Drosophila melanogaster: one gene and its partners. The protein of the gene in region 1 purifies or fractionates together with the protein of each later gene. This does not show direct contact. Each region holds a gene or a part of one and is shown on either strand. Other genes may lie near its edges.

What was found.
Region 2: the proteins of CG7601 (region 1) and jagn purify together in Drosophila melanogaster (affinity purification with mass spectrometry, with the first as the bait; one large-scale study listed by BioGRID). This does not show direct contact.
Region 3: the proteins of CG7601 (region 1) and CG33253 purify together in Drosophila melanogaster (affinity purification with mass spectrometry, with the first as the bait; one large-scale study listed by BioGRID). This does not show direct contact.

What each region holds. Positions count from the first base shown.
Region 1 is NT_033777.3:29,734,858-29,738,614, reverse strand, and holds CG7601 (uncharacterized protein), read left to right. Parts: upstream 1-1,869; 5' UTR 1,870-1,963; coding exon 1,964-2,125; intron 2,126-2,181; coding exon 2,182-2,325; intron 2,326-2,382; coding exon 2,383-2,599; intron 2,600-2,655; coding exon 2,656-2,901; intron 2,902-2,959; coding exon 2,960-3,171; 3' UTR 3,172-3,346; downstream 3,347-3,757. Other genes in the region: CIA30 (complex I intermediate-associated protein, 30 kDa), read right to left, coding at 623-1,039, 1,098-1,571. UniProt on the Drosophila melanogaster protein: Putative oxidoreductase.
Region 2 is NT_033777.3:5,777,477-5,781,233, reverse strand, and holds the start of jagn (jagunal), read right to left. Parts: upstream 1,920-3,757; 5' UTR 1,807-1,919; coding exon 1,718-1,806; intron 1,435-1,717; coding exon 1,062-1,434; intron 1,000-1,061; coding exon 868-999; 3' UTR 1-867. UniProt on the Drosophila melanogaster protein: Required for endoplasmic reticulum organization and proper vesicular traffic during vitellogenesis. Required for oocyte and bristle growth.
Region 3 is NC_004354.4:19,181,472-19,185,228, reverse strand, and holds the start of CG33253 (uncharacterized protein), read right to left. Parts: upstream 1,809-3,757; 5' UTR 1,685-1,808; coding exon 1,504-1,684; intron 764-1,503; exon of another isoform or gene 1-763.

The DNA of each region.
Region 1 (3,757 bases):
GTCACGCTTCCACCCATACAAATTTTAGGCGTACAAAAAATGACCAGAGAACTGCAGCCCGCATACAAAAAATGACCTGCGGCCGATCGTTGACTGTGCGTCCACTCACCCATACGGCTCTTGCGCAGCAGGCCTCGGGTGGTTTTTTTACTCGTAACAAAAACACAACGTCGGTAAAACACTCGAGTATTTTGTGTTGCCGCAAGTAGGGTGTCAAAAAAAACGGGGTGCCTAGAGTACCGAGTGTTTATCGGGTGGACGTAGAGTGCGAGTGGCGGGCTGCAGTTCTCTGGTTTCAACGCTTAAATGACCCTGAATATTCGGCGATGTGAATGTAAACATTTAAACAGCTGATTGCGAAGAGAAAGGTTCTGCAAAAGCAAAAGAAATATAGAAAGAAATAGAGATGGAAAGAGAGCAATAACCAGCTGAGGGTACAGTTGTAACTGCCTATGAGTGATGGTCTAAAAATTTTAATTCGTGAATTTACTATTTATATATATTAATAAATATTGAATTTCCCAAATGTAAAGGCAATGTGCATGTTTCTGCTAACCAATCTTTACTGCTCTTCGTACGTTTCTACAATTAAATAACACAAACGTAACGTAAGGCGGTTACGTTACGTGGCCACGATGTATTTGGGAGTCTGGTACATTTCGTAGGCGAATTCCTCGCGGTGACTGGGATCGTACTCCAAACCCACATAGTCTATTTCCAGGCCAAACGGGCCATCCATTCCCTTCTTTGCGGCAACGGAGAATCCGAAGTGGGTTACCCTGTTCAGCGGTATGGCGCCCTGGCGATCCTGGACACGTCCCTTGGAAGACAGGAAGAACTTGGAGAAGGGAATCTTCGCTATCTGCCAGTGGGGACCTCCGCGCGTGTACAGAACATAGTGGTAGATGTCGTTCCACATCAGGTCGAAGTAGCCTTCGGTATGCAGGTTGATCAGGTAGCTGCGTCCATCGCCTCGCACCTTCATGACCAGCATGTTGTACTGCGTCCAGTCATAGGTGGTCTCGCGCTTAAAGGATTTCTGAGGATAATGAGGCTTAGTATCGTTACATCCAATTTGAAATCAACAATAAACTCACCCGCACTCTCTTCGTGCGAATGTTCGCATATCCCGTCCTTTTGATAATGCCATCCTTGGTGTGATCCGAGTTGACTTGGCCATGGAAGAGTCCAGCACCGGCTGCACTTAGTTCCAGAGTCGCAGTACTCTTGCCCTCGCCGTGATCCGCATCGGTGGTCACCGTCCACTTGTCCAGCACATCCGGCGCCTTGAAATCGAACACCACATCCGTTTCACCCGGCCGGAAGACCAGGATGGGATCACTTTCGAACTGCTCCTTGACTTCCTGGCGCCACAGCTTCATCTCCTCCTTGAGGTCCCTCAAGCCGTCCATGATCATCTGCTTCTTCGAGGGTTCCGGCAGCTTGGTCTTGTAGCCGGACTTTTTCTCGCGCTCCCAGAATGTCCTGTGCACGGCGGTGGTGTGGATTTGCTGCTGGACAGCCGGAAGGCAGCAGCCCAGGCGGAGTCCTTGTCGCAGGAGACTATTCATCGTGGCATTGGTTTAGGTTGAAGTAAATCTTATTTCTCTAGCAGCCTGTGCAGCAAAACAACGTAACAATAATCAGCTGGCCCAGTTGCCATTCTCAGCGAAACAGCAGTGCACAGTAGATATTCGATAGAAGATAAGCACAGTTGAAATGTAATAATGAAAGTCAAACTTACATACTTTGCCCACTTGATGTTACAATAATTATTACTTCCCATGTGGCTCACTTTTGTATTCTTCCTTACACTTAGAATTCATTTTCTTTCCTCTTAACTAAGCTCCCCTGTGCCTTATTCGCAGTGAATGACAATCCCGGTTTTGTTGTCATTGCTAATCATTTTGCATTCGGCTTGGAGTTCAAAGGTTTGATCATCGAATCGCGTCGGTTTGGGAAAATGAAGGTGCAGGACATGGACAAATGTGCTCCCAGCAGCGACTGGAACGTTCTTTACTGGGTGCTGGGCACGGTCCTGATGCCGGTGGCACTTCCACTGGCCATCATCAACATTTGGCAGCGATTCCAGGCCCAGAAATTCCGCAATCAATTGCCCGGCAAGGTGACGAGTTTAACTTAATGACTGATTAGCCCGGTAATTATGTAAACCATTTGCAGGTGGTGCTCATCACGGGGGCCAGTTCGGGCCTGGGCGAATCTCTGGCCCACGTCTTCTACCGCGCTGGATGCAGGGTTATTTTGGCGGCACGTCGCACTCAGGAATTGGAGCGGGTTAAGAAGGACCTCCTCGCATTGGATGTGGTAAGTTCGGGACCCGTAGGTTATGTGGTTCGCATTATAATGCACTAACCATTTCAGGATCCCGCTTATCCGCCGACAGTGCTTCCCCTGGATCTGGCTGAACTGAACTCCATTCCAGAATTTGTCACCCGGGTGCTGGCCGTGTACAACCAAGTGGACATACTCATCAACAACGGAGGGATCAGTGTGCGAGCCGATGTGGCATCCACGGCAGTGGATGTGGATCTCAAGGTGATGGTGGTTAACTACTTTGGCAGCGTTGCCCTGACCAAAGGTAACTAATAAACCCTTTATCCCGGAAAGTCAACTTACTCTTGTACGCATTCTTAGCTCTACTTCCTTCGATGGTGAAACGTGGTAGTGGTCACATATGCTTCATTAGCTCTGTTCAGGGAAAGTTTGCCATTCCCCAAAGGGCTGCCTATTCCGCCTCGAAACATGCCATGCAGGCTTTTGCCGATTCCCTGCGAGCCGAGGTGGCAAATAAGAACATAAACGTGTCCTGCGTGAGTCCTGGCTACATACGCACCCAGCTGTCCTTGAATGCATTGACAGGATCGGGAAGCAGTTACGGCAGTAAGTGATTTACCCTTTATATTCATATGAAAGCTAATTTCTATCTCCATGTCTGCAGAAGTGGATGAAACCACGGCCAAGGGCATGTCACCGGATAAACTTGCAGAACGCATTCTGCAGTGCATTCTTCGCAAAGAACCGGACATTATTGTCAGCGATGTCCAGGCCAAGATCGCCTACTATCTTCGTCATCTTTGCCCGAGTCTCTACTTTTGGATCATGGCCAAGCGCGCCGTCAAACTGGAGAATGCTGAGAAAAAGTCCACTTGAGCTTAGAGTATGTTAAGTCACACGTCCTTAAGTATTAGTTTCATTTTTATTGTTAATTGAATTTCGCTTAAAATGAGGAAATTATAAAGTATCGCATATGTGTGTGTTTGGGTTAAAAATTAGTTACACTCGTGTTATTGCCTAACGATAAGATTAATAAATAATGTATTGTAGTAATCGTAACATAAAGTACAACTGAATTGTCACACATGTGCTTGTTGTTCGCTCGTCTTTAAAAATGTTAATCGTAAAATTCTAGTATTCACTTCTTTGCTCTTCGGTTTTTGTTTTGTTCGATACACTTAATTTCGTTTGTGTTTCATTCGATTTCTTAAAGACATTTACGCGTTCTTTTCTTAATTGACAAAATTACATATTATTCATTTAGGTTCTTGGATGGGTGATGCGGTCTTGGGCAACATTTAAAACTGGCCATTAACTAGGGGTAGACGATGGTTTCGTGGGGAGTCGGGAGACGTACATACGTGTTTATAATTCATTTAGCTAAATTATAAAAATAGCATTAATCCATCTCGTGAAAAGTATAAAAATTAATTACAATTGAGGTACACAATACACATACAGA
Region 2 (3,757 bases), about 24 Mb from region 1:
AAATTACGATTTAAAAAACATCATTACATTAAAATTCAATTCTCAGTTTAGTTTGGCGACATGCCTGTCATTACACAGTATTATTGACGATCAGAAATTGAAGAACTTTGCTTTAACACTCAAATTGCATTTCAATCCTTATTTATAGTAGTGTGTAAACAGTGACAGAAGGTTGTAAATAGTTTGGGGCAGTTCTCAAACGTTCAGCACCCGGCCAGACGCCTTAAAGCATGGCACTGTGCGGTTCGATGAATAAAATTCAAAATTAACGTACTGGCAAAAATGAAACGGTTTCGAAATTTGTAGAAAAGTGAACTAATTATCAACTAGGCGAGGAAGTAACCATCCGTGGACGCAAACATAAACTGATGTACGCATATTTTCATGTGTAAATATATATATAAAACGTTTCTAACAAACACGAGGCACGTCGAAATGTAAGTGAGCAAAAATGAAGTGATCTCTAGGTTGGTTTTCAGTTTTTATTCCGACTCGGGGAAATTTGGTGGCTTCAGTTGCTTCTTGTCTTTAGTTGACCTCACAAGGCTGCGTATGTGTGTATATATGTATGTCTATGTGTATAGGTGTACATGTGTATATGGATAAGAGTCTATTTAATCAATTTGAAAACGGTATCAACTAACTTTCAACTAACAATAACCTTACCGCCGACGCTTCGCTCAGTTTCGACCATATGTTTCCCTTCCTGTATGACTAAGTGTGCGATACCTTAACAGCTGCATAACTTTAGTTTACCATAGTTTCATTACGCTTTTGTGCACTAGTGTTTTGAGTTAGTTTCAAGTTTCCAAATTATTTACAACTAGCCCTGCATTCCGGCGTTTACTAGTTTGGCGAGTATTTAGATTACTGGAACTTGCGCGTGGCAGTTCTGGCCTTCCAGGCCTTGACCAGGTTGTAGGCGAAGTACAGCGTAAATCCGTGCACCTGGAAGCCCACAAAGCAGAAGGCATACCAGAAGACGCCGTACGGATAACCCTGTAGAAAAACCGAGGTTTAGTAGGGCGGCTCTTGAGGGATTAACTGGCCCAGCCACTTACGCGCCACACAAAGATGTCTGTCTCGTCCAGCTCCACCGACTTGTCCAGCGTGGCGAACTCCCACACGTCCGAGAAGTAGTAGGCGAAGCAGTAGAAGAGTGGCAGGATGGCGAATAGCAGTATGGCCACCATATACTTCTGCATTTCGCGCACCTTGTTGCCCCTGGCGGCCGAAAGGCCCAGGAAGGAGGTGAGCAACGACGCGGCCCACACGTACTCCCACCACAGGGGCGGTGGGACCTCCAGCTCCTCGATCTCCAGCACAAAGATATCCAGGTGGTCCAGAATGTCCGACGTCAGCTTGGCCAGCATCACGAAGAACAGCAGGGCGTGAAAGAAGATGCAGTACTTCAACCTGGACTTGTTCAGCAGGCTAAAAGAGCAGAGAAAGTGGTCGTTCAGTGGCGGATCTGTGTGGGTGAGCCCCATATTGGGGCGCACATGCTGCCCAGCTGGCACTTTGCCCACCCGCCCCCTACAGCAGCAAGTGGGTGGGTGCAGCAGCTCCAGGGTGCTCCGCCGCCCTGGCTGGACGCCACCTGCGATTCGGCTGCAGTAGGTGCCGCCTGCAGGTGGATCTACTGCCACAGGCGCCCCAGTAATTAGATAATTTCGAGTGTAGCTGAGAGCTGGCGATAGCACGAAGTGTTATTAACCTAATTTGATATGTGCCAGCTACGCGCTGCCTGAACTCGAAGTCGTTGCCATCGGTGCCCGCGACCATTGGTCCGCCGCGCGTTGCCATTTCGTTGCCTTCGTTCGTGGGTCGTGTCGTTCGCTCACGTCGTTGCTTATTTTTAATAAATAATTGCACAAAAAATAGGGCTGGCACTAGAATCGATGTGTGTGCGATACCATCGCTGCCACCAAAAAACTGGCGCACATCGATACGCTCCTCGCTACCATCGATTACTTTCGCTTGAAAGCATAGCAAATAACCGTTAGAAAGAGAGGGGAAATTCCGCTAAGTTTTAGAATGTTCATTTTCAGAAAGTCTGCCATGGAAACTATTAATACATCTGCATGGAAACTGTTTACAAAACATTAATTAAATTAAATAATTAGCCTTTTAACTGTATTAGCAACACGTGATTAGTCATATTATTTAATTATTTTAACTTATTCTATTACAGTTATTAAACAGTTATTAGTTTTAATAAAGTGGCAATGTGGTCGTGGTGACTAGCTCCGCTTAGGGAAATTTTAATTGGGAGGATGACTTCGCTAGGTGTGTAACCTCGCTAATGCTGTGTAGAATAAATGTGTTATACTTACATACGTAGAACTTCAGTTTTTCTCTAGTTAGTTTCGGCAGAATGTAGATAGATATTCGAACTAGTCGCAAATGAGAACGATTTTTTAAAGGTAATGCTGAGAGTTTAGCATTGCTAATCTGAAAAGTGGGCTGGTGAAAAATAAAACCAAACCTATTCTTAATGGCATTAATGGCACTTAATACTTTAATTTTCATATCTTTTTTGCACGATTTTAGAAAATGAGGGCTGGTTTTAATACTCCGATTGAAATCTTCCATCCATATGAGAATTATTTCTACTAAAAGTACAAACGCTAGACTAAAATGAATTGAATTGCATTCCAATTCCAATATGTCTTATAGACCAAATGGCAGAACTAGTAAGATTTAGTAATGATTAATGATTAATGAACGGGTCGCGATGAAAAATATTACTCGTAGATTAAAAAAGAAGTATTCTAGATTCCTTTTTCAACGAATATGTATCAGGTGAAAGGAAGTGTTTTTCGAGCCAATAAAGCATATATTGGTAAGGAACACTAGCCGAATCGAACTGGCCATGTCCGTCCGTATGCACGTCGAGATCTCAGGAACTACATATATAAGAGAGATTAATTTAGTTTTATTGCTATGTCAGAAAATGTTGAAATTCATGTTTGAACTTTCACTAGCAGAGAAAGGAGTATCTAATAGTCGGGGAACTCGCCTGTAGCGTTCCCTCTTGTTTTAGTTTCTCCGTACCTTGTTTTTGAATTTGAACTGCAGTTCCAATTTTTCGAAGCCAATAATGCCTAGTGCGTCAAGCCGAAATTATCATAATTGGGTGCAAGTGCTCTTTGATGGGATTATGCAAATTGGATGCAGCTTTGTGTCCCAATCAGTTTTCCAGATTGGAAGCAGTGGGTGTGTCCGGCGGACTTTCGGCGCTCTGTCAACTGGCCAGCACCTGTTGCACCGAAATCCATAAATCAATCTGCCACGAAACAAGAAACAAGCGAGGAAAAGCCAATCTGCGAAAATAGAGAGGGCGACGACGTTTAAAAATAAAATAATGAATTTCCCATTTCAACGCACTCTCTTTATGCTCGCTACGCTACAAAAGTCGAGCATTCGGCCCGGGTGTGTCATCAGTTCTACGGCGGTATTCCTCCGACTTGGACGCGTTTTCATCGCATGCGATCGTCTCCGGCCGAAAGTCGCGTCTTTCCCGCTCCGATTTTAATGTCAGTTGTTGATAATTTCCGCTCGAATATTTATGCTGAGCTCGGTGGCTGACACTTTCGAGTCCAAAGTTGAAGTTGCGCCATAATTGCGATTCGGTCCATAAGGTAATAGACCAGAATAGTACCATCACAATGAGTGGCACTTGCATATTAATTGCATTTCATCGCCGAGTCTTTCTTTGTTTTCGCCAAAAATGAAAACACATACGCGGCAGATT
Region 3 (3,757 bases), on another chromosome or scaffold:
CCTTTCGAAATGGCCGCTGTTTGTTTGTTTACAATGAAAAGTGGCTTCGGTGATTTCGGTGATCGACCTGATTGTTTCAATTGCGCCAGCATATTCCACGATTGGTACTGTATTTTTTTTTGTTTTTGTTTTTGGGGCAATTAACTTGTACAAATTGCTTTTGATCTAGTACAAATGCCCAGGAGTTCCATAAATACCCAGCAACGGGGCTGCCTTTGCTTTTTATGCTCGACTAACTATGTACAACATGGCTGGGCATTTTTTTGTTTATGGCTATGGACCAGACATTGAATATGATCACTGATTTCCACATCTCCACAACTGGCCATGTTTGCGCCCGTGCCTGGCTGTTGCCCATTCCGGCGCTCTGTTTATCTCTCGAGTTTCGATCCGTACCATATACATATATCCGATCTGATCCGATCCGGTCCGCACCGATCATCTCTATTTATTTTCATATGTCGGCGCACAGTTTATATTGCATACTTCATAGGTGGTCGCGACGATCGATCGATGCATGGATACGATTCACTTGATTCACTCTGGTGATTCACTGACTCACCTCGCGCCTTGATTATGGTTTCGTATCGCATTAATCGCACATTTGGCCGATTTATGAATTATGCATTATGAATTATTCTGGAGCACTAGAGTTCTGTGGGGTGAGGTCATGTGTGTGGGTGCGGTGGGAAAATGTGAAAAACTATTTGTATCTGGCAGTCAATGTGCGTGTAGTTTTATGAGCTAAACAAATCGCCGAGCGAATTATTTGGTTATATGCATCTGGAAATCCGGTCCAGATATCAAGGAAGTCTTGCCACACACACACGACTGGGCCATCTGCGATCATTATTTCATTCACTTTTTAATCAGGCTACAAGTACTTTATTGTTTAGCTAAACAAGACAAAAAGACGCAAATGTTTTGGCAATAGAATGTTAATTGAATGAATGAATTAAAAGTAATCAATAGTAAGATTCTCACAATTGTTTCATTCAGCCTTTCCAGCAGATGTATATAGTTCATATATATCATTAAAACTTGTCGGACGATTAATATATATGTATATACCTTGTAGTAAAATTACTAGAATGTCTAAAGTTGAATTAGATGTTTATAATACTGCTATTGAAACAATTAAACTTAGTCCGTTTATTTAGAGTAACTCGTTACGTAAATATTATTTCTTTTGCATATCTTGATTAAGGTCATAAAAACTTTCGAATAAAAGTGCTCAAGTATTGTATATTTTCCGAATACCTCGCTGTTTGTTTTTCGGTTTCGATGAACATTAATTATACCATTGTTTATTTGGGTATATCACTTTTAGTTCGTTTTTAACAAGGCGCAACACAATTGAACATACCACTGATCATATTTTTAGACCTGATATGAATGAATGATTTTTTAAAAAGTTAATCCGCGATCAATGTTAAATGGAATATCCCATATCATATCATATCATATCATTAGATTCTTAACCCTTTTTTTCGCCATGCTTACAGGTCTTGAGTCCCTGGTAGGGCAGGGAGGGGGGCGGCGGGATGTGAACGGCGTGCTGCGAGGACTGGTGCTGCGGAGTGAGTGGGAAGGTCTCCGTGGAGGAGGAGGCCTGTATGCCACCCGATCCTGGCGATCCGACATGCAGGCGGGCGCGGTGCTGATGCGGCGAGGCAGGATGCATTGCAGCAGGACACGTTCTCGGATCGTATTGGATGGGAGGGATGCGATTTCCACTCCACGGGTATCAGACGTTAACTGGTCGAACTGGAGAACTGCACGCGTCCAGCGCACGTTTTGAAATGAGCACGCCAAGAACGAACACAAAGCCAAACGCAGAGGCGAAGACAGGAAGTATAAAACTATTCCACATACCAATCGGTGTCCCGACTGCTAGATACCATGTAAAAGTGCACTCTAATTTTGCATTTTCATATTTCATGCAAAGTGGAAATTCGAATTGGAATCAATCTCTTTGAAGTTTCCTTTCATATATTCTGAATATATACCAAAATCGTATAACAAAAATAATCTATAATCTTAATTTTTCTTTTAACAAGAACATTCAATTCACAATGGCATACTCAAAACGAAGCACCAATTATTATTTAAAATAAAAGTTTAATTATTAACTAATTATTATGTTGCATTGATCAATAAATTATTTGAATATTTAATATGAATAATTCCCTAACGTTTTTATATTTTTAATTAATTGCTGCTAAAACTTCTCAAATCTTTGATATATTACCAAATTGGTTAACGAATGTTTCATAAATGCATTATACCCTCTGGGTCCTACACTTTATTGGGTATCATAAACTGTATCCTAGACAGAGGTGAAAACGCTGGCAGCGGCAATCGTTCGGCTCATTTCACACATTTTCGTGGCCGAACGATTTTCCCGCTTTTCCGAATTTCCCGGCACACACTAACACGCACGCGGAATGGATCGTTTTGTTGGCAGTTTAGTTCTTTTTGTTTAAATTATTGAAACGATCCACGAACAACTTCGCAGATGGAGATCATTTATAAACCACTTCATCGAGAGCATTCGGCAGTTCCTCGCTTGTCTTCCATTATTTCATAGCTTGGTTGGAGGTTGCCCATTTGTAGGTGGGTGGGTTGGTGGCTGCATGGAGGCAGTTCCTCGTTCCCCATTTGTCTAAATCAAGACGCGAGGAACAGGCGCTGGTGATCTATTATCACCAAAGGTCACAGCTCCGGACGCACATCAATTGGTAGCCTCGAATCTCCAGGGAAATCTGGCCACTGGAGTCGATTGCGTGTTCCCAACCATAAAGCATAAATGAAGACATTAATGGGTTAACCAGAAGATTTAGTGCATGATATTTGAATTTGAACGGGGCTGGCAAGCATAAATCATGATTTACACTACCAAAATGAGTTTGGAAAAAAATTATTAAGGAATTAATTGAATTTGGGTTCTATTCGACTAACTACAATCCTGTATTATTTGTTATTTAAAATATCACATATATATATCTGTTTTTATCTAATTTCCTTTTAATTGATTGCTAACATTTCAATGAATTATTCAAAACCAAGTAATTAGCGTGACATTCAAGACTGCGGTTGTTTGCATTTTACAGAATAAGCAATTAGTTTTGTTTTAAAACGAGGAAAAACGATATCATAGAGGCACAAGTAGTGCCCGAGGCTCTTAATAAATAAACTTCATTTCCAAATATATCTTTTTTTTTTTAGCCTTGTTGCTTTATTGTAGTTGTTAAATTAATAACAATAAGAAATATGTATATATATATATATATATATTCATATTTATGTATATACACATGGTATGCAATAAATTTGCTTGTTTCAGGCCGATTGCTTGTGTTTTTGGTTTCTGCTGGTTTTTTTTTTTGAGTGAGTGCTGCTGCTTGGTTGCGTAAAGTAAATGCGAAGAAATCACCTCGAAGACCCGGCGATGGAGAATATCATGTGTAAAGGTGTATATAGAGCTGGTTCGTAAGGCACATTACGGCTAGATTGTGGATGCATCAAGTGATTGCTAATTGCGCTGATGTTGATGTTGATGGTTGATGGTTGAGAGTCCGCAGCCTTCGATGTACAGCAGCAGCCTAAGTAGATATATGTATATATAGGGTACATATAAGTGCCGGTATCAATTTTTGATTGCTAACAAATGCTTGACAATAATCCAAATGCTTAAACTTAAGAGTCCACTCGAATTTAGTGTTGAAAATCAGTTGGCTTTAAATTCAATTTGGCC